Linked DNA regions of Schizosaccharomyces pombe. Changing the gene in region 1 together with any one later gene gives a genetic interaction. Each region holds a gene or a part of one and is shown on either strand. Other genes may lie near its edges. The genes, in order: oca2, rnh202, ins1 and cwf28.

Region 1 (9,869 bases):
GGAGTGAATAAATAGAGGGAAATGAAAAAAATAAATAAATAAAAAATAAATAATAAAATAAAAAATATTTATATACACATACATATAGATTGGAAAAAGATGAAAGAAAAAAAATGAACCAACCAATCTATCAATAAGTAAATCAATTAATCAATAAATATATAAAAATAAAAATTCTAAAACCAAGAAAAAAAAAAGAAAAAGAAAAAAGATTGAAATCTTATAAACAAATCCTTCTACGCTGCATACAAACACGTTACCACAGTCTGGAGTACTGTTGGAGAGTGAACCGAGACAGCCGCGGGGCGGTCCTTCGGCGAAACCAACGAGACGTTAAATATTTGCGATAATATTGTATAGTGCAAGTATGATAAAGACCGGTAACAAAAGTATAGCGGAAATTGAAAACCAAGTGCAAAATCTTCCAACGAGCAAAAGGTGTTACCCAAGCACGTCAGATGCATCAACCGAAGCAAAAATGTTTAAACGCAGATGAAAAGCTTATTGGAAGAAAAGTAAATTTAAGGCCAACGATTGGAGGAAGGAAAAAGTTTGATGGGGCAGATCCATTATGTTACACCTTGACTTTGTCGGCAATCAAGTCAAGTCAAGTGCCGAGGGCGCGCCAAGGTGGGTAAAGAAAGAGACAAGAGCAATACCGTGACGATCGGAAAAACCATTACCGAGAAATAAGGAAGGCCGGTAAATGGAATGAAACGTGGAGCGGCCAAAGGAAGAGAGAGAGAGAGAGTAGGAAAGAGTGAGCGAAGAAGGTGTCTGTCTGTAATAAGAGGAAGAAAAAGATGAGATGAAAGATGGATAGAGAGAGAATTGTAAGACATTGATAGAAACATTGATGGATTGGAAAAGAAAAAGAAGAAAAATCAAAAAGATGTTGGCAATTGTTTTGAATTCTAGTCAAAGAGTGAATGTTATATGTTTTTATGCTTAAAAAACAAAAAAACCATTCGAATGTAAGAAATGGTTTGAAGCAATATAGCCAGCGAATAAAAAATAAAAAATAAAAAATAAAAGGAAAAACCGTTCGATTCAAAGCAAAGTACAAACAAAGCCACAAAAGGATCTTACTAATAACGAATGCTACAAAAAACTAGACCAACTAACTAAACAAGTAGCAAAGGGATATAAAGAGGTACAGCGAAGTCACTGAAAAGATGAAGATAACGAGATATACAGATGTCATTAAAAGAGTGGTATAACGAAATATAGTGATATCACAAACCCACAGAATTTTAGGGCTGGTAAGAAAAGTAAAGAGAAGAAAAACAAAACAAAAGAATAAAAAAAACAAAAAAACAAACAAAAGGAAAGGCTGATGTGCATATAGTCTCAAAAGTCAATCGAGTTTAGTTTTACTTTTTCATGAGCATCTAGCATTTGCTCTTGTTTTGTGTTCGGCCGTCTGACTGTTTGGATGAGGAAGAAGAAAATTTTGTAGGGCGGCCGTGAAAGAAAAGGAAACAAAGGAAAAATTAAAAGAAAATAAATAAAATCGAATTAAATTAAATTAAATTAAATTAAATTAAACGAAATAAAATAAAATAAAATAATAATAAAAATAAAAATAAAATAAAATTGTAATTGTAATTGTAATTGCATTTGCTTTTGCTTTTGCTCTAGAAATGCTCCAATGTCTTTCCCTCGTACTAGTGTCATTGTCAGGATGCTGGATGGGCGAGATGACAAACGAGGAATAGTGTGTGCAATAAACAGGAGAGAGAAAGGCAAGTGAGAAGCAACAAGAGTTGAATCAAACTGAATTGAATTGAACCAAATTATTATTCTTCTTATAATCAAATTATTATTCCTCTTTAATCAAATCACTATTCCTCTTTAATCAAATCACTATTCCTCTTTAATTAAATTCCCATTCCTCTTGCTTACTGCCGCTCTTTTTTTCCCCCTCCCCTTGTTTAGATTTGGGTTGCTGAAATTTTCTTTTCTTTTTTTCATCCTCCTCCTCCTCCTCCTCCTTACTTTATTTTGTGTTTAACTTTTTTTCCCTTCTTTCCTTCAACTTTAATAAACCCGATCATTCCTTCCGATTGATCCTCTGCCAAATTTCCACCAAACGGTCGGATCCAAATTCAATGGAAAAGGAAGCGACTGGCGGTCGCACGAAGCAATGACCATGGCAGATGGATGAAATGATAACATCAACGGAATTAATTTCCTGACAAATGATGATACAAAGTATTGAATGAAACATGTCAATCATCATTTACTTATCTACATTTCCCACACTCTAGTGAATTTCATACTTTAGCTAATTTCAACACTTTAGCTCTAGCTACTCTTCCACCTCTTTAATTTTTTCTTTAGCTCTCTCCATCTCTCTATCTCTTATAACAATCTCTTTTTTTATACGTTATTCATCTTTAACCTCTCCCTTTCATCCCATCTCAATTCCTCCTTCGACTCTCAATCGCCCCCCATCTACCTTCTTTCGCTCTCCTTCTCCCCAACGAGGTCGCGTTCCTCTTCGCTATTCCCCTCTACTCCCCTCTCTCGCCCCACACACCGCCTGTCTCGCTCACTCAACTCCCTTTCGCCCTCCCCCACGTCATCCCCCCTGCTTGCTAGCGTTTAGCCTTTCGTTCTTCCTCTCAGCGTTTAGCGCGGTGCAACGGATTGTGGAGTCGCTCGCCGGAGGTAACACGTTGTAGCCGAACTAAAAGTGACATCATACTTCGGCACTTGCATGGGTGGGATTCCCGGAGATCGTGTGGATTTGCTAGCTCCTCCATCCAATGCGACTCGGCAGTTGATGTAGAGCGGCCATTCGAGATTACATGGGAGATGCTGTAGTAGACTGCGTGTTTCGTATACATATATTATATACACCTGCCGTGCACCGCAATACTTTTTGCCTTTTCCCATCCACTTTTTTTCATAGTATTGTTGAGAGCCACATTGATTGATTCCTTTTTATCAAGGAATTGAACCTGTTTCTCGTCGTCTTTTTTTTTTTTTTTTAAACTAGCAAATAAAAAAATTCATTGTAAGATTTGAATTATACTAAAAAGCTCTACTTCACTCCCCCGTCAGTCATAGTCCAACAACTTTGACTCAACAAAGCAAAAGCAAAAGCAAATCAAACCATACGATACGATACGAAAAACGAAAGTTTTTTTTGTCCATTGCATTGCTTTGATTCCCTTTGGTCTATCTGCCTTTGATTTCTTTTCTGGGTAAAACAGGAATTGAAAGAATTTTGAGAAAGTAAACGAAAAAATAAAGATTGAATAAAGCATAAAGATCTTATTTCCCATCAAAACATTGTTGTTATTGTTGTGATTTCTTCTGAAAAACAACAAATCAATTTCCAACTTTTCTATTCATTTACGCTTTTTTCCAATTCCCTTAATTTTCCATCCATCCATCCATCCTCATTGAGTCGAATTCTTTCTACTCAATTTGCCATTCGTCCCTTCACCCTTCCTATTCCACTCCCTTCTTTCCGGCTTCTTCCGTTTCGTTATTTGGTGTGATCGGTATCCCGAAAGTGAGTGAGTGAGTGAATTGTGTGATTCTCTTTCCCCCTTGGTATTCTTCCTTCAATCAACATTCTTTCGAATTCCCTTTTTGGGTTGATTTGTTCTTTGTTGTTGTTTTTTTTGTTTTGTTTTGTTTTTACGTACGTTCTATTTTCTATGAATACATAGAATTTCCTGTTTCGTAATCTCAATTCATTTCTCATTTTTCATACTTTATTTGAACCCAAGGTTTTCACACTTTTTCTTTATCTTCTCTTTTTTTTTATTTCCTTTGTGTGCTTTTCTTAAAGCCTCTTTTTTTTCCTCTTTGTGTGTCGTGATCGATCGGATCGTCTCGTCGGCTCACTTTACCTTGAATTTCTCCCTTTGGAAAATATCTACTGATATACCTATAAAAAGGTTCCCCATTCCCAATTAATTCCAGTATTGTTTTTTTTCCCTCTTCCTTATTTCCTTTTTTTTTTGTTCTTGAAATCTCTCATTCCTTTGTCGTTGCGCCAAAGAATTTTCCATAAACAATAACCAATTCGTTGTTGTCAGCGCTCGATTTCCCATCAAAAAAAAGTTATCTTCTTAGGAAATACTTATTTCTTTTCTCTCTTCAACCCTTTTCTTACTTGGAATTTATTTATTTATATATTTATTTATTCATTCTTCCCTTGTCATCCGTTGTTTTAAAAAAAACTCGCTTGACATTTCCTCAATTTCCCATCTCGTCTGACAGTATCTCCGTTACAAACTAATATCTGTCAAAAATCTTTGATTTTTCTCTACTTTCTCTTTGACGTGTTTGTTTATTTCTTGTGTTCCCATTCACTCCGTCTTGAGATTGCCTCTTTGAATCGTACTTTCTTACGCAATTGTTTTGTGTCGTACTTGAAAACTTGTATTGTTAAATAGTTTAACAACTACATTCCTTTGAGTTCATTCAAGTTTCTCTTTTGTATTTTCCTTGTTGTATTCTGAAGTTTTCTGTCTTTTTTCTTCCCTGTTTTTTACCTTTTTACCAAACCTTCCACTTGTTGTTTGGTTCATTGTAAAACACTTTTTTCTCTAATCTTACCGGTGGTTTGCTCTTCAGTGAACTAGAATATTTCTTTTGTTTCTTTATTTTACAATTGCACATGATTGCCGTTACGAACATGTCTGTCACCCCTCCCAATGTACAGTTTAACCTTAATGGGGATAGCGATCATAAATCAGACAATTCCAGTTCCTCACTGGAAAATAAACTTGACACTGAATTAAAAATAACGAGTCCTCCTCGTAACCCTCCTCAGCGTTTGCATCCTGTCGACTTTTCTGAGCACGCTGATACGGACGATGATATGAATCATCCTCTTCCCAGAGTTCAATCCCCCGTCCATATAAAGAATCACATTGACCCTAAACTTGCCGAGGATCGTTATCGTTCATCTGCTGCACGTCACTTCGAACCTATTTCCATTCCCCCTTCCGCTATCACCTCTGAGGATGAAGATGATTATCATGGCTCTGCTAATTCTTCTACCGTCCTTCCCCCTCGTACTGAAAATGCTTTACATGCTGCTAGTCCTAAACCTTCAGGTTCGACTGGTTACACCTCTCCTGCTCTTTCACAAAACAGCGGCAGTGGTGGTGAAGGCGAATCTGATGAAGGCTCTTTTAACACTCAGCATCATCGCTCCCCCATTTTTCAGGCATACCCTTCTTCAGAAGACCTTGTCGGCGATCCCAACGATCCTTATCGACGCACCCGCCGTGCTCCTATTAAGACAAATCCACATGATATCCCTTCACAGTTCATTTTCAGAAAGTTGGGTCTTCATCATGGAAAGCATGGTCATCATGGACACTCTGGTAGTTTATCGTTGAAATCTCTTGTTCCTAATCATCATGACAAGCATGATAAGCATGACAAGCACGAAAAACATCATAGTTCTTTAGATCTTCGTCGCTTTTTCAAATCCCATCAAAAGACAGACAAGGAGAAAAAGCCATCTGTTTCCAAGTCAAAATCTTCCGCTAACCTCCAAGATGATCATTTCGGTCTTTTCAAAAAATACGGAAAATTTGGAAGAATGCTTGGCTCTGGTGCAGGCGGTTCTGTCCGTATTATGAAGCGATCTTCTGATGGTAAAATTTTCGCCGTCAAAGAATTCCGTGCAAGAAGGCCTACTGAAACCGAGCGTGAATATGCCAGAAAGGTTACTGCTGAGTTTTGTATTGGTAGTGCTTTGCACCATACCAATATTATTGAGACCCTTGATATTGTTGAGGAAAATAAAAAATTCTATGAAGTTATGGAATATGCTCCATACGATATGTTTTCCATCGTAATGAGTGGTAAGATGACAATGCCTGAAGTTTATTGTTGTTTCAAACAACTTCTCTCAGGTGTTGCCTATTTACATTCGATGGGTTTGGCGCATCGAGACTTGAAACTCGATAATTTGGTTGTGGATAGTAATTGCTTTGTTAAAATCATTGATTTTGGTAGCGCTGTCGTTTTCAAATACCCCTTTGAAGCCGATATCGTTGAGGCCACTGGTGTTGTCGGTTCGGATCCATACCTTGCACCAGAAACCTTGGTCCGGAAACTATATGATCCTCGTGCAGTGGATATCTGGTCCTCCGCCATTATTTTCTGTTGTATGGCTCTTCGCCGCTTTCCTTGGAAATATCCCAAGCTTTCAGACAATTCTTTCCGTTTGTTTTGTATGAAACAGCCTTCAAATGATGCTGAGTCTCCCAGTGATATACTTGCTGACATAAAAAAACAGCGCTTAGTCGAGCAAGGATGCGAACCTATTAGAAAAACCGATGAATCACATAGTCCAAACTCTAAAACTGATAACTCTTCAACTCATAAACAAGAGTTGTATGGACCCTGGAGACTTTTGCGCCTACTACCAAGAGAAACTCGTGCTGTTATAGCTCATATGTTGGAGTTGGATCCTGTTAAGCGTTACGACATTCACAGGGTCTTTGCAGACAATTGGATTAATGATATTTCGATGTGCCATATGGAAAATGGTAAAGTTATTCATTCTCCAACACATGTCCATAATTTGGTGGCTTCAGAAGAGTCACCTGCTCCACCTGCAAAGCATTAAAAACTTATATTGTCTTTCCCACGTTTGTTTACAAAGTCGCCTTGGATATTGGTGATCTGTTAAACGATACCAAAAAATGAATAATGTGGTGGCTTGTTAATGAGCTAATCTCTTAATCGTTGACGGTGTAACTTAGTTTTCTTTTCAGACTTTTTTTATGTTAAAAAATACTTTATTCTTTGATTATTAGGGACATTTCAATTTCTTACTATAATCTCCTCTATTTAATAGTCAGTCCCTTTTTTATCAGCTCAACTTTATGATTGTTGGTGATTTTTTTTTTCTTTCTTTGGTTATTATATTATTATTATTGTCTTTGTGAGGTTAGCTTGTTTATGAGTTATTTATATGGTAAATAGGGGAAATCTACTGTGGTAGATTAAAAATATCTCTACAATTTTGAAAATAAATGTAAAATTGTCGCATCTTTGAATTTGGTTTTCATTTTTTAGTAAGTTTAGATAATACAATACAATTCATTAGTCTCAAAATTTTCAAAGATCGTGTTTGAATATGATATTTTGTCCTTTTCAACCGTTGTCAAAGTTGTTGCAAATATTGAATATATGCAGTGTTTACTTCAACTGTATAATAATGGTAAAACACGTGTTCAAAAAATAAATGCCTAGGCATCCATGTGCCCTGAAGCAGCTAGTTTTTAAGCACTAGAGACAATTTCTTAAAGAAGTAGAACATATCTCATGCAAAGTTTTCGAAATCAAATTTAAGGAAGACGACATGAATACAACGGAATGTGTGTGCTATGTTCTAGCATCGCTGACAGGACAAATATATTTTAAACAAATATCCTATTTTCTATAGGAAAAGTAAAGAAATGTAAAAAAACAGTTAGATTTGTGTTTTATTAGGAAATACAAAATATTTATAGGATGGGTTCACGAACAAAAGGAAGAGATCCACTTTTTTCTCAAACAATAGATCTTAATGAGGTATATGTGTTATTAACGAAAGGGCTGAACAAGAATAAGGAGGGTTCATCTTGGATTAATTGCCAAATGCATAAATCAAATTAAACACATTACTCATAAACTAATGACTTAGTTAGCGTGTAATTGTTTCAATGCGAGATCTGACTATTCAAACAAAATAAAATAGCAACGATCGAGCAAGTTTCTTACCATATACTAAACTGTAGAACAATGTCCAAGTTAAAACATAAGAAGGTGCGCCATCTAATATTTTAGCGATCCAAAACTTATATCCGGGCTGGTAATACTTAGTTAAGTTACCACGCATTTTCAATGCAAAGAGTAGAAAGGAGACGAAGAAGTAACCGAGTACATACAGAGCAAGCCCTTCATATGAAGTTAAACCCAAAATACCAGCTGCGCACCCGAAAAAACTAGAAGTCAAGTTTCGAACAAAAGAAACGACCTTTGGATTCATTAGCACTCAATTATAAAATCCTTAAAAAAACTAGTACCAAGAAAATCTAGCTCTGCAATCATTTCTTACCTGTTCATTATATGCAACATTTTCTACAACAATTGGAGCGACGCCTTTATCCCTTTCCATATTAGCTTATGAACAATTCTGATGTTTAGTTGAGTTCACCGCTTGTAGAATTATAACCAAAAAATGATGGATAACGCATCTTTATACTGCGGTATTAACTACATAAGGACTTAGTAGGAACGTAATTTTTTCGCAGCTTGACGTATCCTTAAAAGCATTTTGCAAACTGCGTAATTGCCAATCTTTCATGTAAAGCTACAAGCGATATGGATATGGGAAAAAGCATTACTTTTTGCTTGGGCTGAATGTTGGCTAGTTTGGAGGGTGAAATAGTTTATTCAATACAATTGAGTACTTTATTTTTTTCCATTTGATTTTTTTGAACAGAAATGGGCTAATTACTAGGATATTGGGAAATCGCATTGTTTAAAAGAGGTTCTCGTTTTACATCAAGGTCGATTTTTCATATTTATTTGTTTTAGAAAAAAGTATCATCTTATATTTCCTGTATTACTGGTTTTCTAATTCTAAAACTTGAAAATGGTGGATGAAACGTTACATACTAGATTGTTTACAGTATACCGAAAGGATTAGAGACTCGTGAACATTCGTAAAAGCGACATGCTTATACTTCCAAGAGAACGAAAAGCGAATTTCATTTCTTATTTACAATAGAATAGTTATTCTCATCATTCAGTCACGATCACTTTTTTCTTTACCAAAAATTGTATACCTAAATAGCACAGTATAATCCACCGCAAATTAACGTATCGTTAATATGTTTATGATCAAATACTATGTATTTGCATACCAACGCTGCGATACATTAAATAAAAACAAGCAGAAATATGAGAATTCAATAATAAAGGAAACATTTAATAATTCCAAAAGCGAATTGCTAATTTTTTAATTACTTTATTTTACAATATCCTATAGCACATCAATGAAATCAAGGTTTTCAGTCAAGGTTGGAGTGATGTTGAGAGTAGTAAGTGTAAATACTAAAACCCATTGCGAATACTTAGTGGATAATATCTGTTTCTTTTTTACCAAAGTCTCTCTCTTTGTATAGCTTATCAAGTTATATGTTTGGCGCAATTCATTTGTTTAAAATACAAACATAAAAACAATATAGTTGTAATGAAATTGTTATTAAATTAGTCGATGAGGGAAGTATGAGTATGCAAAACAAAAATAAAGAACCAAGAGAAAAAAAATCGAAAACTTTTTAAAAGGCATTATGAGGGCCGGTAAAATAATGCAGCGTTAGGATCAGTTGCATGCTTTTCCAATGAATAATCTTTTCGAGAATCAAAGACTTCCCAATGCACACATGGAAACACATGGCGATTTTGTAAATAATATGATTTTTGAACTAGATGAGGAATGCATTGAGAAGGAAGTTGTGTAGTTGCAACCATTTCTGGACTAGAGCATGACAGCTTATCAAAGTCAAATAAAAGTCCATCACGTCCTTGAACTTTATTAATGTAAAAGTAGTAAAGCTCATGGTGATGGGGAATGATTAAATCAGATTGAACCAGTAAAAATTTATCCATATCCAGAATCCTCTTCAAAAATGGGATTTGCTGTTTCATATCAGCAAGAAAGTGTCCAACCGAATCTTTCAATCTAGTCCTTACATGATAAGTGGTACTTGTTCCATCGTAATAGATAAATGGTATCAAAATCTCTTTTTCCCGAATTTGCTCCTGCTCTTTTAGCCATTGTTTGCGATATTCGGCTCGCTTCGCGTTTTCACGTATTTCTCGCTCTGCAT
Region 2 (7,693 bases), on another chromosome or scaffold:
CGGAGTATTTAGGATTAAAGCCCTGACCACTACAAACACTGCAAGTTCTCTTCACCGGAATTTCCAAGGTAAAACTGCCTCCGGTGTAAAAAGATGAAAGATGAATTTGAACTATTTGCTCCATGCTAGGTCCTCTGCGAACGGCATTTTGACGTCTACGTCCGCCAAATATGTTATCGAATATATCACCAAATGGATCAAATCCGAAACCTCCACCTGGGAATCCTTCACCTGGACCACCACCAGGACCACCAGGTTGACCGTTTAATCCTTCTTCTCCATAAGCATCATAAATCTTACGTTGCTCAGGATCAGAAAGGACTTCATGGGCCTTGTTAATTTCAATAAACTTCTCCTGTGCTTCTTCATTACCTCTAGAACATTTATTAGCTTTAGGCTTTCATTTGTTTGCATGCTTGTTTAACTTACGGATTTTTGTCAGGGTGCCATTGTTTCGTCAATTGTCTATATGCTTTGCGAATCTCAGATTCAGATGCATCTTTACTGACTCCAAGGATCTGTTTTTGAGAGAAGTTGTTAGTGAACATTTTTCTTTAATTTTCTTCTCAATCCTACGATCACATGCACTTACTTGATAGTAGTCAGCAGCAGATACAACTGCTTGAATGCAAACTAAAAATCCTAATATAAAATGAAAAAGATTGAAATGCATTAACTATGTTTAGGAAGCGAGTTGGAGTTTAGCTCACTTTAACAAGGGAATGGTATTATGTAGAAAGATTTTCTTGAAGAAATCCAGGACAAGTTTGCAACGCCTCGGTATACTCATCGCCGTGGTTATCGAAACCATAAATTTAATTTAACATTGTTTAGAAATGTCATAAAAGTTACTATATGAAAATATTTTTATTAATACAATTAATCCATTTCAAGGATCCACATAGGTTATTTAAATAGTCCAAATAGTTGATAATTTTATATTTGTTTCAACGAATATCGGGTGGAATTGTTGGTAGCAATATTTCGAAATATTTTTACATGCTAATTTTATTACTAAATTTTTTAGTTCCAAAAACCAACTACTCATTATTTCAGAGGGTAAGTATGCCTTTAGTCATTTGAGGCAGAGTAAGGATGATAAATAATAATATAATATCTATGTACACGTAAATACATATACACATAATATATATAATATAGATAGATAGATGTGGGTGTTCAAACCTCTACACATATGTACGAGAGTCCAAATAACTAAAAATAGACTGACAAGCAGTATTCAACGACCTTTATGCTCAAGGAACGCATAATATCATCGGAAGTGATCAAAAGACAAAATGTTGAACGAGACAAAGATTATAAACGGAAAAAAACATAAAAGCAAAGAACCTGTGCAAATATAAGATATCATTGCTTTAATCACAATAAGTAACCTCCAGTTTGACAATACGCGAAGAAGCCTAAAGAAAAGTAATTATTTCAAACGTACATTTTACAGATTTATAAAAAAGGATAGATTACCGGGAAGGAAGAAAAAATGCAAAAGTTAACCCTGCTAGCAATTCTAAGAAGAAGGATTTGGACAAAGAAATAAAATGAAAAGAAAGTGTATAATTAAATGAATGAAGCACAGAAAATCGTTACGGCACAAAAAATAAATCACAAAAACACTTTTGTCAACTGAAAGCCTGATTATCCATACCAGTCTGAAGAACAAAATAATCAAGAAATTCCTAAATACTAGTAGAACATATTATTCATGTGTCTTCATTGGAGCCAGAACAACAAGAAAGAATACTGGCCCAAAATGATTTTTTCTTTTTAGGTGCTTCTGTTTCTTTCGTAGCATTTTGTACTTGCTCTCGGGTAACCCGTTCTTCAGAAGAATCATGAACATCAACGGGTGCTGGTTGATTAGTTGCTAAACCGGAACGATCAGGCACAGTTGTGGTAGCTTTCGTCTCCGTTGGCGGATTAGGTAAAGAATTTTGATTGGGTTCAGCAGAATCGCTTGCAGAATTCAGATGCGGCTCGGCAAAAGGCTTTTCATAATCAGAGCGTTTGGAAACTACGTTCTGAGTACTTGCATGATTTTGCAGGGCTGGTGACTTTGATTCCAATTTGGGTGCTGGTGGTTTGCTTGAACGTTGATTTTCTGTCTCTGCGTTTCGCGACTTCAAGCTTTGCCAACCTTTACCGTTATTCAATAGATTCCAGTCAAAATTTTCATCCTCAGTAGTATTTAATCGCTCTAGGACTTTCGAAAATAGGCCTTGCAAATAATCATAATCTGGAGTAGCATCGAATGCCAAATTACGAGCATAATGCATATACTTGTAGAATTCTTCCGGGAAACCAGCACACAACTCGCGTAACGGGGTACTTTGCTTTTTCTCACCAATTCGTTCATATTTTTGCTTATTGGTGGCAGCCTTCAATCCTTGCCAAGGTAGGCTACCTCTAAGAAAATACATGAATACATGACCCAAGGCTTCCAAATCGTCTCGACGGGATTGCTCCCGACCCAAATGAGTATTAATAGACATGTAACGAGCAGTACCCGAGAGGTTCTTTTTCTCCCGGTAAGGTATGTGCTGTTTGGTAACTGGATCACGATAAAATTTTACCATGCCAAAGTCTACTACGTAGATCATATTAGCATTTTTACTGTTTGGTCGACCGATCAAAAAATTATCAGGCTTAATGTCTCGATAAACGAGACTCTTCTCATGGATAGATTGCACTCTTGCCAACATCTGTTTTGCGGCCATAGCAACTGTTTTTACACTAAATTTACGGCCGCAGAGATCGAGCAAATCTTCTAAACTTGGCCCAAGAAGGTCAATCACCAAAATGTTATGTAACCCTTCTTGGCCAAAATAATAAACATTCGGAATACCCGTACATCCTGCCAGCAACTTGTAAGTACGGTATTCATCACGTAATTGAGGAGCATCACTGCGTCTTGGTTCCTATAAGCAAAATCAATCAGTAATGAAGGAAACAAGAAAAATATCCAGCTTCAAAGCATGGCATCAAATGGATTCTCACTTACAAATTTAATGGCTACTTGTTGATTATTCAACAAATTCGTCCCTTCAAAAATAACACCAAACGAGCCTTCGCCAATTCTTCTTCCAACTTTGTAGTGGACACCGACTACATTGTTTTGTCCACTCATTATCTTTGAACGATTTGTGCTGGAGATTTGTCAAATATGATGTCTCCGTTTTCCGCTATCGAATGCAAAAAACTAGGTTGTAAGCGATTCCTGTTTAAATACTTTTATGAATTAGATTGAATCACAAAGATCTCCTATACAAACCTTGAAATTACAACTATTCAAGCCGTTATTGAGAAAAGAGGTGGATGGTGTTGGAACGGATGTTTTTAGTGGTGCTTTAGTTACGGAAGTGTCATGTGCATCACTTCCCTCTATTCCTGCCTGATTAAGGGGTTAGGTAATGCTGTCTTTGGAATACAAACACTGTTTCAAAACGTTTAAATAAACATACTATTACTAGTTTTCATTGCAAAAATCAATCGATAGCTAAGTTTTTAATTTTAAAAAATCCCGGATATTAAAATCCAACTTACAACGAAGTACTTTCATTAAGTAATAATACCGTATTTTCATATGCAAGGTGCATTCTTAAATAATAGAATCATTTTGCAGTCATATCACATTAAAAAACGCTTGTATAGCAAACGCACTAGCTCGTTGCATTCGCGCTTCTTGCAGCCAACATATCGCAAAAATATTTGTCAAATTTCCAAACCCATTTTCCAGCAAGACTTATCAACGAATACGAGTATGTTTAGATTCAGTCTATCAAGTTATCATTTCTACAATTTACATGTTTAAGTTTCTTTTTGTCGATGTGTACCTCAGTTTTTAAACTTTTACTAATATAAAGATTTCATCTCAAAATTGAAAAGTCCATTCTCCAACCTCAAAATGTCGAATTTAAAGCAGCCCCTTGTTTGGATTGATTGCGGTTAGTGAGCTTTAGTATAATCTTAGCTTTTAAAATGCATTACGATGGTTTTATAGGTAACTTGTACTAATATGATTGAAGAGATGACCGGGTTAGAGGTGGGAAAGCATGTATTGATGGAGGTCGCGGCAATCATTACTGATGGAAATCTTCGCCCCGTTGAAGAGGTAACTTTTAATTGTGAACATTGAAACATCGGCTTTTAACTTGAGATGTTTCAAGAGAAACAAATGCATGGTTTCGAAGTTGAGCGTTTATTAAGGCTGTCATACTAACTAAGGCGTAGAAATTTGATGCTGTTATTAAACTCGACGAAAAGCAATTGAGTGAAATGAATGACTGGTGTATTGAGGTATCTTTTCTTGCTTTTAGTTCATTCACGGATGTCAATTTTCTAATTATACTAATAAACAGCAACATGGGAAAAGTGGTCTTACGGAAAGATGTAGACAGAGTAATTTAACAGTGAAAGACGTTGAAAACCAGTTGTTAGCATACATTAAAAAATACATTCCAAAAAAACGAGAAGCGTTAATCGCTGGAAACAGTGTCCATGCAGACGTAAGGTTTTTATCTGTCGAGATGCCAAAGATAATCGAACATTTGCATTACAGAATTATCGATGTTTCTACTATTAAGGAATTAGCCAAACGCTGGTGCCCGGATATTCCTGCTTATGATAAAAAGGGTGATCATCGCGCATTGTCGGATATTCTTGAAAGTATTGGTGAACTTCAACATTACCGCTCTTATTGGCTTTCTTGAAACATTGCTCAAGAAAGAAGAATTCCACTTTTACAGCAATTGACAATATCTTGTAAACATGCCAAAAAAATTAAGGGTACTATGCTAAGAAAAAAATAAAAGCAAAATCATACCTCGGTGATCTTACTTTTTTGTAAAGAATGAAGATATTTTCGTCATTCCTTCTCCTGAGAAGTATTTGGACTTCTTGGTGGCCTGCTTCCGATTGGGCTTTTTTAAAAGACTTGATGTAATATCACTGTTTTGTGGACGTTTTTTAGAATTTAACAAAGCTTCCTTTTCTACCAAAATCTTTCTTGATTCTTCTAAGTTTTTAGTGTAAGCGTGCAGTGGGGCCAATTCTTCCTGCCAGTAGGCTAATTTGTTATACCATTCAGGTTGAAGATCTTCACAAACCAATGAAGCGGCATGCCACTTGCATGACAATTCTAGTAAATCTTGTGGAAGCGGCGTGCGGAGGTCCAAAGGCGCTAACTGTTTTTTAAGTTCGGTTACAATACTAGGGGGAAGATTTTCTTGAGCAACCTTGGCTTTCCTTAGTAAAATTTTAACAACAGAAGATTCATCCAGTTGAAAGGTCTTGGGCAAAGATCCTACTGGCTCGTTTACTTTACAAATCCGATGTAATGTGTTCAACAAATTCGGAGAGAGGACTTCTGACACTCGTGGATAATGAGGACCCATATTATCAAAGTGTTCAATGAAGTCTTCAAACGAGACATATCGATTCGGTTCTTTCCGGCGACTCCAAGTAAGTTCCTGAATGATTGGAAGCACAAGCGCGAGTAAGTCTATCGGGGTGCAAACATAGAGATATCCGTCCGATACTACATGATCCCCTACAAACCAAGACCTTTGTTTTGAAGAATCCCCAACTTGAAGGATTTGTAAAAGGTGATCGTTTGTTAATAAATAACGAAGTGGTCTCCCGGTCAAGGGATGTGAGAGTTCAACAAATTGTTGATTTGTAGAATCTTTGGGTAGTATGAATATCTTTCCCTGCATTTTTTAAGTTTAAATTATGAAACCCCAAAATTTGTGAGGCAATCACGTCTGAAACTTCGTACCACTATTTGCAACAAAAGTAAAAAATGCAAAGATATCAATTGAAAACAACTCTGAGTACTTGCAAACACAATTTTTTAATTAGAAAGATTTCGTTGTGTAACTTTCAGCTAAAGATGAGTATTTTGTAAAAGTATTGACAACGATTTGGGTATATCAAAATTTAAAACAGTGACGACTCTAGTTGTACATATACGAAAGAAATTAAGCATATAAAATTGATTGTTCCTCTTAAGATAATCATGAAGTTGATATAAAAGATGGCTGAAGTAAGAGGAGATTCGTACCGACTTTTTGTTGTCTGTTCAAGACACGTTGTTAGTCAAGAACTCCATCTTTATAAGAAAGCAGTACAAAAAAATGAAATGCATATTCTTAAAAAAGAAATATAACAGTCGATGTTGAAGTCAAGAGCGGCAATCTTAGTTATGAGAAATTCAATGGTAAACCACGGTAGTGAATTGAATAGAAAGCTTGCGGCTTCAAGTACCAAAAAAAAACAGCATTGGTTAAATTGAAAAGCCAAAGTATAGATATCCTTAATAAACTAATAAAATAGACATTGAGTATTTTCTCATCTTAATAATTGCTAGATTGACTATACTAACTGTTTATCACATCGAATTTTTTTTTTTTTAATGAAAAAAAACTGGTTGCGGACGTTATACATAAAGAGTGTATAATGGTGAACAAGACTAAGTCTACATGTTCTACTACGTTGATTGTAAAGTAATGAAAAACGTGAAGTACATTAGTTGAAAATTAGTGAAGTAACTAAAAGCGAACGAATATGACCTTCCTTGCTTGCAAGTACCTCAAAGGTGGTTGATGTGTTATTTAAACCATTGATGAATGAATCTTCCTCGTGTACATTCTTTCGGTGTAAGTCTCAAAATGGGTTATAACATTATTACATTGCTACCGCATTTTTTGTGACATGAATAGATCAACTTCCAAATTACTGTTTCATTAGCGAAGCTCCTTTTTGTATTTTTACTTAACAGTAAATACTTACAGTGATCTGAGCAATTTATGGAGCCTTTCTTGCGGGCCACTTTGAGAGCCATGCAGCAAGTCAGCTAGACTAACAATTTAGGCCAAATGATTCGTACTTTTTAACGAATATCTTGAATCATGCTTAATTGCTTCATTTAACACCCTACCTAGGGATTTACTCAAAACGATTCATGTAAACAATACTTTACAATTCAATGCAAATAGTGTGTTGGAACGAAACCCAATTTAGCTTCTTAAATTATGCGCAGCGGTTTCCAGTAGTATATAAAAAGTCCAAGCTTATTTACAAAATTCGGGTATTAGGGTAATACAAAAATGAGCGTTATACAAAAGCAAAAGGACGGTCACAGGAATCCTAATCTGTCGAATACAATAATTTAGTTAAAATAAGAAGCTACTGAAGTTTCTATATTAACAGGCTCTTTTCTGTCTAACATCCAATAATAGTTCTAAACAAATTCTCGCTTAATAAGTTTTAGTTATATTAATCATAAAAAGGGAAATTGTGCTAATCTTTCATAATCGTGGTACCTTGTGACATAAATTTTCAGTCATAACCATTTAAAGATAGTCCTTGATTATCTTTTTTTTTAATATTCCTATTAGCAAGACTTCACCGTTCATTAACAATATAAAAGGAACTAAAATATCATGTCGGATATAGTTTATGCCAACGTGTCTCATTACAACAAAATAGAAGCATCGAAATATGACAATCCAAGTACCTTGGCGATTTCCAAAGTGATTTCTTCAAAAATTTTACAGTTTGAAGACAATTCCGAAACCAGCCTAAGACATGATCTCCCAAAATATGATCAAGATAGGCTGCTTTTAACTTCGGATGATGATTTGACAAATGTAAATAATTTTTGGAAGAAAAGTGGTAT
Region 3 (7,165 bases), 340 kb from region 1:
TAGATGAAACCAATAAATTTTCTTGTAGTTCTTCCTTAACAGAAGGCTTAGGCATTGAATGAAGATATTTGAAGATTGCCGGTCCAATTATTTTACTTTTTACATCACGTAACAAAGCAGCCTCAAGATCTCTAAGCACAACTGAGGTTGCTTCAGCGTACGCTTCCTCGGGAGGTAAAACAACTCTTCGTACTGCGCTCTTTTTTCCATCTTCCTTTGTACGTGAAGGAATGTCATGAAATTTCAATTTTATGCGACAATTTTGTACGTATGTACGATCCAGCGCACGGTAACAATTGCTCGCTTCGCGATAATTATTAAAAGTTATATAAAACCCGTCTTTGTTCATGTATATCTTTTCATACAAAAATTTTCGAAAATGATGCTTTATATCAGTATAATACACACGATCTGGAGGGACAAAGCGATCGTCAATTAGTAAATAAATATAATCATTAATATTTTTTGGAACATCAGTCTCGCTTGACGTAAGAAAACCTGATTTCTGGTCCACGTTCTGAACTTTAGAATGTTGCAAGTCTCCATTGCTCAATGTTTGTGAATTTTTCGATGGTTGACGCCAAGGAGGAATATCTTCATTCATAGCTGCAGATAACTTTTGCCGCGAAGATTCATCTTCCCGCTCGAATCTCTGTTTCTGTAAAGTTTCTTCTTGAAATTGCTTTTCAACAGCATTTAAAGCTTTCTTGAACGCTTCTTCGCATAATGAACCATCCCGATCAAGGACTACTGAAAGAGGCTTACCGGAAAACCTCAAGCCATTTGCTTGTTGTACAGCAATTTTCGCTGAATGTGCTGCTACAGAAATGGAACTACGCTTGTCAAAAGATATACAGCACAACCCTAAAGAAGTACCTGTATAAGGGTTTAACTTTAAGTCTAAATCGAAAACTTCCCCAAATGATTTAAAATGATATCGGAGCTGTTCAGAAGTCACGAGCGGTGAGATGTTAGAAACAAAAACCTGAGTTGGAGGTTCTGGACCTAATGAATTCTCATTGTAGTCATAATTTATAGTTTGCAAAGATTTTAAAAATGGCCTTCCACTTTTAGGAATACCGCGGGCATATATTGGATTTTTAAGTCTAGGGTCGCGAACTACTAAAGGTGGTTTTGAAACACCATTAAACCGATATATAATTTTGCGACCAAGGTTCTCCTTGATTCCTAATTCTGGATCGTATAAAACTTTGTAATTATTCCTTTGAACGGGTTGAGATTTCGACCGCGTAGAGGTATTAAAATCCATGGCTGATTAATATTGAATCCAAGTAGCAAATCCCAGGCATTCGATCAAAACAAAAAAGAGCTATAAAGTAAAAAAAAAAAAAAATCAAGAGATATTAAAAACCTGTGCACTAAATCAAAATCAAAAATTTGGTAACAACTCGATAAGTGTAATTTATTCCAATAATGAGCCTTGACAAATTATGAAAAAAAAAACGTTATGTAAAAAGAAATAATATCGCCGGGATGAAGAGCTTTCTATTGTAAAGTATTTGAACCGTAATTCAGCTTATAATTGGAAAAGTATGTCGCGCGACGTTACTTTGTAAATTATAACAATATTCAAAAACTCAAGTAAAACTTGATCAGTCTTCAAATAAATACGTTCATAAGGCTAATAACAAGTAAAAAAGCTCTGTCAAACATCCGTTTGGCCAAACACAAAGTTTATAGGATCTCTGTGGATGTTTGTGTAAGGTAGGCCAATTCATATTACGCGCCACAGTAGCTCTTATAGCGAAATTTAGTAAAATCGTTATCCAAAGATACCGTTGCATATTACACTACCAATGTTGCTGAAGAGAAGCAAGAATAAATGGCTTGAGAAAGGAAAACTTGTAGATGAATGTTTTAGAACAAAGACATAATTATAAACTACATGAGGAATATTAGGAATCATAATAGAAAATACTAACATGAAAAGATTGTTGGTACATGATAGAAAACCGATTCGCACACAACGATGAATGAGACGAGAAGGTACAAAAGGATAATCGAATACAGAAAAACCAAATAAGTGCCCAGATGCGAAGTAGGAAAACATTTAGCAAAACAAGTTTAACCCGGTTGTTTTGGATAATGAAGTCTAAGGCTAAAAAGAGAACGTAAAGCACAAACAACCAACTCCTAGAGAATAAATTAAAATAGTAGACGACCAGCGTTACCAACAATCGTAGAAGCGGAGAAAAGTATCATAGGAATCCATAAACGAAACTGAATTTCAGGGAATTCAACTCCATTTAACTCACTAAATTTGTTAGCTGATAAACGAATGTTTGAAAATACTGGAGCAGCCTTTGGTAGGCAGTTGATGGATAACAACTAACATACATTTTTGAGGTATCAACCAAATTATAATATAAGATACTCCCCAACACAGAAGTAATTGTCGACAAAATAATACCGTTTCTTGAGCGATCAAATATATACCAAATGCTAGCAGAACTCGCAACGAGTGCAACAATGGAGTGTGAATTCGAAATAAATAGTAATTTCTAGAGATAAGTTAGCAAGAGTATATTCACGATGCATAGTAAGCATTGGCAAAGAGGGTTTACTATCAAACTTAAATTCTCAGAAAACAGCACAACTTATTTATGGTGATGAATAAACTATATCAAGAAGTCGTTACGCATAGATAATTGCTGTAACTCCATACATCTTGCATATATATTTCACTTTTTTATTTAAAGGAACGCCTCGTATAATGTAAAACTTACCTTCATAGAAAGTAGCAATGTAGCGAAAGCAGCAAGATACCGAGAAATCCATTGCCATTTAGACGATTGTGAAGGGCGTAAAGGGGCAGCTCCCAAAGGATACTTCGTATCCATACGTCGATAAGAGAGTCCAAGTATGACAGCAACGAAGCCAAAAATTGCAGGCCATGGGGGCTCAAATTTCCAACTTTTGAGATTGACCGTCAGAAGTGGTAGCTTTGCATCTTGCACAATTTGTTCAGCCAAATAAGTAAACACAAACCCTAATCCAAATATAACACAAAGCTTACAAAAAAAAGTTATTAAAGATGAATAGTCTATAAATGTTATCCCTTTCTTTCTCTGTTTCTTTAAATCATCATCGATCTGTCTAGACGCGTAATCTTCATAACTACTCAGGGATTCATCATCTTCTGCCTGCTCTTCATCTAATTTAAGTGGAGCAAAAAGCCCTGATAGTGTCGATTTCATATTGTCCAAAGAAAGTACCGACAAGGACTTCTTGACCGCTCGATTTCCATTATAACCATCTGGGTAGCGCGGACGGGGTTCGTAAATCTCTTTTCTGCTCATTTTATTCAAGCTTACGGCACCTTTCTGTAGAGATCCTTGTGAAACTGACTAAATGGATGGAGAAGAATCAATCTTTACGTTTAGGTACTTGGCAGAATCGAGACATTGCACAAAACACGCATAGCCCAGTGACAAGTAACAATTTTGAGTAACAAAGATCTCAAGTAAGAGAGATCTGAAATGAATAAATATTTACAATCACTTTTATATGTGAATTTGACCTTTCTAAATTATAGAAATATACTCAAAACTTTTCTGCATCCATATTACTCTTATTGTTAAGGTATATTGTGCTTTGATCACTTGAAGATGCATGCCATAAGTAATGACAATGTTAACTAATAACGAAAATATCCAAGGAAAAAACTCTCGCAAACACTCATTCTACGAAACAATCAGCCACGAAGAAATTGCTTTAAATAATTAAGGAAATTTCATAATTGAGTCTGTATGCCTAAAGTGGTTTCTCTAGTTTATTCAAAGTATAGCAAATTCATCTACTATTTTTAAAACCGCAAAACAAAAATATTAATTGAATAGAATACAAAAAGCAAAACAAAGTTATGCTGACTACATGATGCCAACAACTTTCACCTTCCGTAGAGAATCATCATAAAGAAAAAACAATATTATGGTTATAAAGTTTGTCTCATCACAAGAAATAAATTCTTCAGTCCAAAAAACTATTTAATAGACTTCAATATATTAAAAAACAAAGATCATTCTAACCATTTGGACACCTAAGGAATTGCGCTGAAAGGTAAAAATGTCACCAAACTATACTTATCAAGAACCATTTATGACAATAATTTTCTTCTAAATTAAGTGTGAGATGTATCAATTATGAAAGAAAGAAATAAATTGAAACTTCTTCAGCTTATTCACCTTAAGAAGAGGTTTATAACTGTTTGCGTCGAGGACTATCAAAAGCGTGATAGCTGATTTGAATAGAGGAAAGTAAACGGCAAGAAATAAACAAAGTTGGAACCAATACAGCCAATGCCAAATAACCCATGTACAAACCAGGAGTAAAAAATTGATATTCGGTAAACAGTCCCGTCGCACCATTGTCGGTGACAGGGTGCTTCCTTGTTTGGTGCATAGCAAGCGTGGTTTGTGATCCCTCATTTTGATCAGGTAAAGAAGCCAATTGGCCGTGTTGAAGAGCACTCTTCCCTGAGTTGAGACCACCTAGCGTTTGAATTACAAATTCAGCATTGGCCTCTTCTTCGTTAGCATCAACCTTAAATCCTTCAAAATCTGAGTTATTCAAAGGAGAAGAGGCTATAATTACATTCCACTGAGCATCTTGTTCCAAGGTAGATTGTAAGTTGTAGAACATTTCATCCAATTCCATTAATTGTGCACTTCTATGATAACTTTCATTTGACAGTTCATTCATGTAAACAACAGTTATGCGATCATTTTGAAGAGGAGGAAAAGCATTAAAGGATCCACCCAAGTAAACTACCTCAACGTCGCAGTTTTGCTTTGCCGAATGCACCAACTCTTGTGAGTCCAAAGACTCCTTGGAATAAGGAAGAAGTAAGCTATAGGGTGATTGCAAAGAAACACGCTTTAAATGTTTAAAAGCTCCCAACTGAAAATCATTAACCTCAAGGCCTGGTTGATGTATAATTAAGGTAGCTGTATTGCATGTCGAAAGTGCCTCAATTGCGGCGTCAAAAAACATCATAGGGCAAGTGGATATTGAAGAATCATCGGATGATTTGGGGAGTTTGCTGTTTTTAGTTAGATTAAATAATTTACACAGTATAATGCCATCGATGGATGCAGGACATACGAGTTCGTAGAAAATAAGAAAATCGGCGAAGTATCTTTAAATGCTGATACTAAAGAAAAGCAAACTATAAATAAAATACTCCAAGAAAACATTTTGACACTAAATTTTCTTTACTTTGGACAAGTTTGGATGTTGTCAATTGCTTGAGCGTTGGAGTGGTAGAGAATAGCTCTATATACTACTTTCAGTATCTAAAGGTACTAAAATCCTTCTGAATGAACAAGCTACATATAAGCAGATAGATTATGTAAATATAACATGTTATTTACGAGAAAAAAATAATACTACAAAACACAAGACGGTGTAGATTTTGTTCCAAAATCATGACAATAGTCCATGACACTTGTTATACACAAAAACCCTTATTTATTACTCAGTCCAAAATACCCGTTTATAAAAGACGTGCCCTTGTAAATCCCTTTTGCTTTCAGCCACTCAAAGCTTTTTCACATAACTAATTAACATCGAAGGAAAGAAATGTATCAGAAATTTGAAACAGGCAAAGTCAAATGGTGTTTATAAATACATTGTCAAAACTCTTTCTTCTAGCCTTAGTAGAAAAATGGTAATTATTTTAAAATACTTTTTTTTTTCAATTTAGGAAAGCGAAAGTCAGTTTCACTTATTCCCTTTGCCTTCTCCAGAAGAACCCCGTTTTTGAGCACGCAGTTCACTTTTCTTAAGAGGTCTTGCATCTTGAATGTGCACAATGTGTCTTTTATGAGCAGCAAGATTGGTGTCACTAGTCCAAATTGGCAGAGAGGCACTGTCAGCTGTTTTAATCGCAACATTATCAATTGCAGACCACCCTTTCGGAATGAAATTAGTTAGCAGACACTTCAATACAGTCGTAATATTCTCCAACAATTGTTCATTGGTTTGAGTGGCCAAACCACAGAGAATGGTATGACTAGTGCCGGCAGATAACTTAAGATAAGTAGAATGAAGACAACGAGCAACTTGATTACGCAAAGTCTCTTTCTTTTGTAAAACAGAAATAGGAAATGGCTTAATTTTTTTCTGTTCAAAAACTTTCCCCATCAATAGGGGGATGTATTTTAATACACGATCATCAACCAAAAAAAGGTTGTGAGAGTCTCGTAGCTCACATTTTTCTCGGATTGTTTTATACTTTAATTTCAATCTCGGGATGCTAAGTACTTTTGTAATGACTTCGTCAAGCCCTTGTTGCTCCACCAGATCTTGATATGTCTGCTGTGAATCTTTCACAATCAAACAAGCATCTGTTACATGCATTATCCTGTGCGGAAGGAATCTGTAAAATAGTTAGTACCTTATAATTTTAATGAAGAACACGCATCGATTCTATGAATGTTACAACAAGCTTGATTTATTAGCAAATCAACAAAACCGTAATACCTCTTTATTTCTGCACAAGCAGTAGAAGCTTAAGGTTTTAAGTAATTATAAGAACAAAAATTTTATTGTTGATCTTATTACTTCAGGAAACTTAATTCATCATTAATGCTCACTTACACTTTTGATGGTCTTCTAAGCGACTCTTTCTCAACGGGTTGGAATGTATTAACCTGAATATAAACCTTTTCTTTTTCAATAGGTTTATCAGAGGATCGAATGTGCTGCAGCAGGGCTCTAATTGTTTTCTCTAGCTATTGATTATTTGTAAGTAAATTGCACGATAATTTGAAATTAAAAAAAAAATTTCTTACTAATTTTATGTCAATTTTATCCAATGACTTTAAATTTTTCTTTTTTTCACTTGTAATCGCCATTTCTATTAAGATGTAAGTAATGGATGGCTTTTTGCAAGTTCAACTTGGGTTGGTCAGAGAAGTTAATATTACAATGCTATTGAAAGTTCTGTAGCATATCATTATCAAAGTTTAGTTTGTAAAGAATTAATCAAAGAACAATTGTTCTGTCTTATATGCCATGGCCTTATTAAATTGATGGCTTTGAAACGATACTAGATAAATAAGGCCAACAACTCAAGAACCGCAAATGTCGAATGAATGGAAAACTTATTATCTATTACTTGTTTAACAATTTTCTTTTAGTG
Region 4 (6,750 bases), on another chromosome or scaffold:
ATCGCTGAATGAATGAAATGAGAAAAACAAGATTTTAGCGGTTTGATATTAGAATATTTGAAATCGCTAAATTGACCCACACGCGCACTGCGAAAGGTACTAAACGGAAACCAATACAAAACTAAATCTCGAATACTGATTCAACGAACAAATAAAAAAACAATTAAGCTTAAAAAAATTGTTACCAAAGTAATTGATATCCCATTAATATAATATGGTAAAAAATCTTATAGTTAAAGGTAAACATTTAATGGCTTACTTCATCAGTTGATCAACTACCCAGTCGACTGATAATGTACGAAGATCACTGTAAGTTTGTCCAATGCCTACGAATATGATAGGTACCCTTACCGCGTATACCATGCCAACCATAACACCAACTAGCTGACCCACAGTATCAACTTTAGAAATAATAAAACCATCCAATGGGCGATGATAAAGGGAAGCTTGGAAATGTTTTGCTTGTGCTAAGGAATCTGTTCCTACTAATGCTTCTGCCACTTGAAAAATTTTATCCAGCTTAGTAGCTTTAGTAAACTGTTATGTTAGTTCAAAGTTCAAACAATTCTATCTTAGTAGAAGACTCAATACTTAATCAATTTTGTAAGTAATTACCTTTTCCAATGATCCCATAAGCCTTTGATCGTTATGTCTCCGGCCAGCAGTATCAATTAATATAACATCAAAACTATTTTGCTTGGCATACTCAACAGCGTTCTTAACAACAAAGCTCGAGTCTTTACCATATCCCTGTGCAAATAATTCAATGGAGCTACCCTTCAAACTTTGGAGATTTTTCACATGTACTCCGAGTTGTTCAATTGCACCCGAGCGAAAAGTATCGCAGGCAGCAACTAAGATTCGAAAGTTGTTAGATAAAAGCCAATACGCTATTTTAGCCAATGTTGTAGATTTTCCAACACCATTGACGCCAATGAGAGAAATGGTATACGGACGGTTTTCGTTTTTGCGTACAGAACGAATACTATGCAAAAGGTCCAAAGATGTACTTGGGGTGAGTATTTGAGTAAGCCTATCCCGAAAGGCCTTGTTTACTGTGTTTTTCACAGTATCAAACGAACCAACTTTTTTGTTTATCAACGAAGCCTTCACAGATTCACAAAGCTCCAGAGCTATAGAATTTGCGACATTCTTTTTTGTTAAATGTTCTTGCATTTGCTTTAAAATTGGACTAAGATCCTCCTCCTTCAAGTATTTCCCACCTATTAAGTTGGAGAAAAGGGAAAACGCAGAAGATGCAGATTTATTGGAAATTGTTTGATTGGGATCCATTTCCAAATCACTTATAATAACATCACCACTACCAGTCTTTTGAAACTTATTATTATTACCCACAATAGAAGAAAGTTGGGAATTATCGACTGTTTGGGAAGCAGAAGATGCTTGACTAGAATAGTTCAATGCAGCCTGTTCTTCCTCAGTTATTTGATCATCCCATTTTCTGAGTTGCTTCTTTCCTTTTTTAGGGGCATTTGTTTGCTTGGATTGAGCGCCTTTTTTCTTCATTTCATATTCATTTTTCTTTCTTGCTGAGTTATCATTATTAGCCTCAACAGGTAAAGATTTCGTGTCTGTTTCATTCTCCAGTTGTGCTGATTTACGATTAAAAATGGGAGCGAACAGTTTTTCAACTTCTGCTTCATTAGGAACTTGACGATCTTCTAATTTTTCTTTAAATAGATTCAGAAATATATTATGAGCACTATTAAGCAGTGATTGAGAATATGCCATACATTTCAAATCTTGAAACACAACCTAAAAATTCAACCGCGTTAATTAAGTTCAAATGACACGATAAAGGTATGGCTTTGACTTTGACAAATAATAGAAAATCAAAGATAAAGTATAAACAAAAAAATTTTTGGACCTCATTTTGGGTGTATAGTAATTGACAATTTCTGTCAAAGCACAAATCACAATATATTAAACTTACCACAAAAACTATGCTATATTGTGTAGCCTCTTGATACTGCATGGTGTACCGATCAAATGTTACGGTGTTGTTCACCGTTCTTTGCTCACTTAAGAAAGCTTCGTGAAATAAAACTTGAAGGCATTTCAAATTAACAAGAGAATTTGTTTTTTTCCAAAGTACTATGCCTCCTTTATTAACTATCGCAAACAAGTCAATCATTCCAGGCTCAATCACAAATGGCTTTAAAAGTAGTAAACTACTCACCAACTAAGAAGGAGTGTTCTTGATTAAACACATTGCTCACTGCCGTACAATACATAATAACGCACTATACCAAATCTATGGTGCTAATTGAGTTAAGCTATTTGCTTAAACATATTTTTCTTAACGTATTTTAAAGATTACCTTAAAACTTGTTGTATGCAATATTATACAAGGATAGATGCAATTTGAGACTAAAGGTTGATATTAACAGTAGGCTTTCGTTTCAACCAAAATTGTTTATACTTTTATATTAATAAAAAATGCCACTAAATAAAAAAGCTATTTTTTTACTGCTATTTGAAGGTGCGTTTTAAGTAAGGGAGAAATGAGCATGAATTCTGTAATCCAAATAAAGAGGTAAAGGGAGCACACACTATTCCATGTCTGGGCAACGAAAAATTCCTGAAAAGCTTCACAACTCTCATTGTACGAATGTGATTATTCTCAAGACTATTTTCACTGTAATTTTAAACTTTCCTTCCTACTTATAATCTGGCCGATTTTTGCCATTTTATTTTTTTTGTTCATTGTAATACGCTTAGTCGCAAACAAGTGAGTTATCATAATAACTCTGATGAAGCGAAAAGCCGTATTAGAAGCATTCAGCGATTCTGAGGATGAAGATGAAAAAAAATTAAAAGGTCCTCAACTTATTACTGGATTTAGCGCTGAAGAGGGAGTTCATTATCAGAATGAAACTATTCAGCGCATACACGAAAAGAAAAGAGCGCCAAAGATAATCCACATTGCAAGTGATGAGAACTGGATGGAAAAAAGAAAAGCCAGGTTTAAAAAAAAAGAAACAGAAGTTCATGAGAAACCTTCACAATTGCCAGATAGCGGCTTAAATTATGGTCTAAATATTCGGGTGGCTTCTTCATCAGCAGCGGATAATGAAATTGTGGACTGGAAGGCAAATAATTCAAATGAAAAGGCTCAAAATAAGATAGCCACAAATAAAGAAAGTACTGATATTCTTCCTGAAGAAGTCCAACTTGTCCTTAATGATTTAAATGACGATGTTAAAAGTGCTAATTCTGCCAACTTACAGCCGATTACCACTAATGTTGTTAACGAGAAAGATGCATATAGAAAAGACATTGACGAGCTTCCGGAGCCTTCTAATATGAAAGATTACTCGGAAATTCCGGTTGAAGAATTTGGCGCCGCCATGCTTCGAGGAATGGGTTGGAATGGTCAATTATCTTCTAAAGATGCTTTTGATGTTAATCAAAGGCCGACGTTTTTGGGTATGGGAGCCAAGCCTGTGGATTCCGAACTTACTGAGCTGGATATTTGGAAAAATCCAAAAAAGACTATGTTTCTTCCTGTTAAGCCTCTAGAATCAAATTCCGCTCTGAATTCACAAAACGAACATACTGAAGTACAGAAGAAGTCAAATTCCATTGACAACTTAACTCCCAGTTCAGAACTATTCAGAAAAAGAAGCCGAGATAACAACCTCTCAAGAGAGTCTTCAGTGAGCAGTAAACATTTAGATTATAATTCACGAAATTACAACAAACGCGATAGAGATCCAGACAGAACTAAGTATCGCGAATACCATTCGGAGCGCCGGAAACAACATCGAACAGACCGTTATTCAGATGATTACTATCAAGGAAGGAGTTATTCATATAAAAAACGTTCTCATAGAAGCGATAGATATACTGAGAGAGAAAATCCAGATAGAAGTTACAGAAGTACTCGTACACTTTAATGAATTTACGATTATCTTACTTTTTAAGTACCACAGTTACTAGAGTATCCTTTCCAAATAACCAAAAAATTGTTTATCAGTCATAAACGAAATAAAACATCTCATTATATTGCTCCGTAGTCCACATGAATAATAAAAATAGTAATCGAAGCTTTCAACCTTTATTCAAGAGCTTCGTGAAATGCTTTCCATTCATCGACGGTGAAAATTTCAGGAAACTCTGACTTAAATTGTACGAGCGACTTTAATAACTCGTTAGTATTTGCGACAGACACTTTATTTTTCTGGAATAAATAAAGTGTATGAAGAGATTTGGTAACACAATCCTCATCGACAGAATGTTCAAGACTGAATTGATAAACTTTTTCTGGAATCTGAAATTCGTGTGCCTTTTGAAGAATAATTTGTTTTGATTTATCTTCTTGAATAAGTAATGCATAGAAAAAAAAGATAACTCGTTTTGTCATAACCGAGTGTTTAAGCTCCAAGATTTCAATCAGCATTTCCCAAGAGTTTGGGATTTTATCTAATAAAGCAATTCCAGCTTCGTTAAGTTTAAGCTCACTAGTTATTGCATAAAGGACTTTATTTTTTGTTTCATCCGAATCCTCTTTTTTTAGGGCGCCGAAGAGAATCTTCAATCCATCATTTTCTATAAGCGCTTGTTGAGATTTAGGATTATTTTGAACGGCAGTTGCGATCGTCCAAGCAGCTAATCTGCGCAAGGTAGATTCCGGACTCTCAAGCTGTTTCAATAGGCGAGGCCACAATTGCAGGGGAACCAAATTATTTGCATTGTCAATATGCTCTACGAGCATTTCTAAGTTGTCAAAAGCTATCTCTTTCTGATCTAAAGGTACCGATGGATCCTCAATTGCGTCCATCGCTTTCCTCATTTCATCAGCTGGGTTTGCTCCAAAAATATGATCTAAAACTGAGGGATCAAGGTCTTTAGGATCAGGAGGAGAATTGGAAGAGTTTCCTTGAGCTTGCAACTGCGTACTGAAGGCCAAAAGTTTCTCCATTGTGTCAAGAATAAACAATAATAATACCTAAAAATTTGAACTTTTGAATAAAAATTTCGGTTTGGGTAGAAAATGCTTATTCAAATAAAAATTCAAAAAGAAAAAGTAGCAAAAGTTAGTAAAAATGGTAAGATACAAAAAAGTCTTAAAGCTTTAATGGGAACTTGCACTTATAAATGCGAAGTAGATTACTGCCTAGAGTATTCTAGCAAAATCCTAAATAAATATATTAGGGTTCGTTAAGCAACTTTTACGAAGGTATAAACTTCACATAATTAATCTTAACACAACTGTGCAGATCCTTAAGTTGCTTAGTAACGTGTTTGCAAGCTAAACTGAATGGATCATGTGTAGGAAAGCTGCGGATGAAATTTTAAGAAATATAAATGTACTACGCTGGAATATACGTATTAGTTGAGAAGTGGATCTTTGGAATAAAGAATAAAAGCTTTCTTCTCACTCTTAAAATATTTATAACACTATTTTAAGATTGAAGTACATGCTACTATTTTGAAGCATTTCAGTAAAGCTACTTTTAATTCTTTTCAGGCGATATTAATTATTGGTAGAAAAAAACAAACAGTGAGCAGTATGTATAATGTACTATTTCTTAGAACTGAAAATCAACAATTCATTTTTAAGCATCTGACTTTCAACCATTATTGTAAAAGAAGTAACACAACGCATTGTAGTCAATTAGTATAATCTAAGTTATTGGATCAATTATCATAACAGCTATAAAAAAAAATAACTACTAATGGGCTTTTGATAAAAATTTATCCATTCATTTCATTTATTATAAGAAAACATCAATTGATCAACATGATGCTTAAAATTGCAAAATCCAAAAAAAGTAAAACCATCGCTTTTAAATACTCAAAACCATAATTTTTTTTCTTTAATGTAAAAAAAGAACAAATTTAAGTAACCTTCATAAATCCAATGCATTTGTTGTAAGATACTGGTAAATAAGGGTAAGTTTTCTGACGAGTTTTATTATTTGTTTACATTTTGTATAACGCACACTAACGAAACAAATTAATTAACGTCGCGACGCGTCCCGTGTACCATACTGACCAAACCAAATAATTTTGCCAAGGGAAGAACCTTGAGAGGAGTGTCTCAACCTTTAGCAAACTCCATGTGAGTGGATTCTCACTTGAAAATTAAATGTCTGCTTTTACATAAGTTAAGCGTTACAGTGATAAAAACACTTTAATAGTATTGTTGTTACTAAGAACAATATATCTTTTTATGTGAAGTGAGTTTTCTTTTTATGATAATTTTATCTAAGACACTACTTCTTCCTTTCTTAACTTCATTTGTAATTGAATTATTTAAGCACAATTTTGTTCATAAATTCCTTTTACAGCTGAGAAGATGAAACCGAACACAACTAACCTAAGGAATGAGTGCTGGGATACTTTCTCTATTCCTAAACGCTCTCAGAATATAAAAATAAATCAGTCTACAAAACATCAAAGGTCTATATCTGATTTCGTTGGCACAGCTGGTCCTGGTCGACAAGTTGGAAACTGGATTATCAAGAAAACAATTGGTGCTGGCAGTATGGGAAAGGTTAAACTCGTTGTAAATATTTTAACAGGAGAGAAAGCAGCTCTCAAAATGATTCCCTTTACTCCTAATAATACAAGTCAGACAGTTCGTGTTCAAAGGGAGGCACTTTTAGGTCGTTTATTGAGACATCCCAACATATGCCGGGTAATAGACTGTATCCGGACGCCTGCATGTACTTACATACTGTTCGAATACGTTCCTGGAGGACAACTTTTGGAGTACATCCT

What was found.
Region 2: mutations in oca2 (region 1) and rnh202 together harm fitness less than expected from each alone (positive genetic interaction), as found in Schizosaccharomyces pombe (one large-scale study listed by BioGRID).
Region 3: mutations in oca2 (region 1) and ins1 together harm fitness more than expected from each alone (negative genetic interaction), as found in Schizosaccharomyces pombe (one large-scale study listed by BioGRID).
Region 4: mutations in oca2 (region 1) and cwf28 together harm fitness more than expected from each alone (negative genetic interaction), as found in Schizosaccharomyces pombe (one large-scale study listed by BioGRID).

The regions. Positions count from the first base shown.
Region 1 is NC_003421.2:755,645-765,513, reverse strand, and holds oca2 (serine/threonine protein kinase Oca2), read left to right. Parts: upstream 1-2,889; 5' UTR 2,890-4,660; coding exon 4,661-6,613; 3' UTR 6,614-7,146; downstream 7,147-9,869. Other genes in the region: protein Emc6, read right to left, coding at 7,653-7,663, 7,753-8,008, 8,090-8,149; xap5 (splicing factor, xap-5-like protein), read right to left, coding at 9,328-9,869. UniProt on the Schizosaccharomyces pombe protein: Overexpression causes cell cycle arrest.
Region 2 is NC_003423.3:4,069,993-4,077,685, forward strand, and holds rnh202 (ribonuclease H2 complex subunit), read right to left. Parts: upstream 6,104-7,693; 5' UTR 5,730-6,103; coding exon 4,848-5,729; 3' UTR 4,725-4,847; coding exon of another isoform or gene 4,374-4,724; 3' UTR 4,312-4,373; coding exon of another isoform or gene 4,246-4,311; 3' UTR 4,127-4,245; coding exon of another isoform or gene 4,041-4,126; 3' UTR 3,960-4,040; coding exon of another isoform or gene 3,879-3,959; 3' UTR 3,774-3,878; downstream 1-3,773. Other genes in the region: DNAJ domain-containing protein Scj1, read right to left, coding at 1-374, 430-518, 593-673; serine/threonine protein kinase (CK1 family) Cki1, read right to left, coding at 1,719-2,933, 3,017-3,142; rex2 (RNA exonuclease), read left to right, coding at 3,599-3,773, 3,879-3,959, 4,041-4,126, 4,246-4,311, 4,374-4,724; SPOM_SPBC1347.09 (hexaprenyldihydroxybenzoate methyltransferase), read left to right, coding at 7,458-7,693.
Region 3 is NC_003421.2:414,258-421,422, forward strand, and holds ins1 (INSIG domain protein), read right to left. Parts: upstream 3,411-7,165; 5' UTR 3,321-3,410; coding exon 2,748-3,320; intron 2,542-2,747; exon of another isoform or gene 2,523-2,541; coding exon 2,359-2,522; exon of another isoform or gene 2,276-2,358; coding exon 2,167-2,275; 3' UTR 1,900-2,166; downstream 1-1,899. Other genes in the region: histone H3-K4 methyltransferase Set1, read right to left, coding at 1-1,270; family protein BIG1, read right to left, coding at 4,219-5,062, 5,125-5,216; SPOM_SPCC306.07C (U3 snoRNP-associated Cic1/Utp30 family protein), read right to left, coding at 5,743-6,400, 6,622-6,755, 6,816-6,878.
Region 4 is NC_003423.3:3,988,862-3,995,611, reverse strand, and holds cwf28 (splicing factor Cwf28), read left to right. Parts: upstream 1-2,626; 5' UTR 2,627-2,774; coding exon 2,775-3,920; 3' UTR 3,921-4,000; downstream 4,001-6,750. Other genes in the region: signal recognition particle receptor alpha subunit Srp101, read right to left, coding at 256-537, 616-1,776, 1,955-2,155; fes1 (Hsp70 nucleotide exchange factor), read right to left, coding at 4,082-4,945; serine/threonine protein kinase Ppk25, read left to right, coding at 6,326-6,750. UniProt on the Schizosaccharomyces pombe protein: Involved in spliceosome maturation and the first step of pre-mRNA splicing.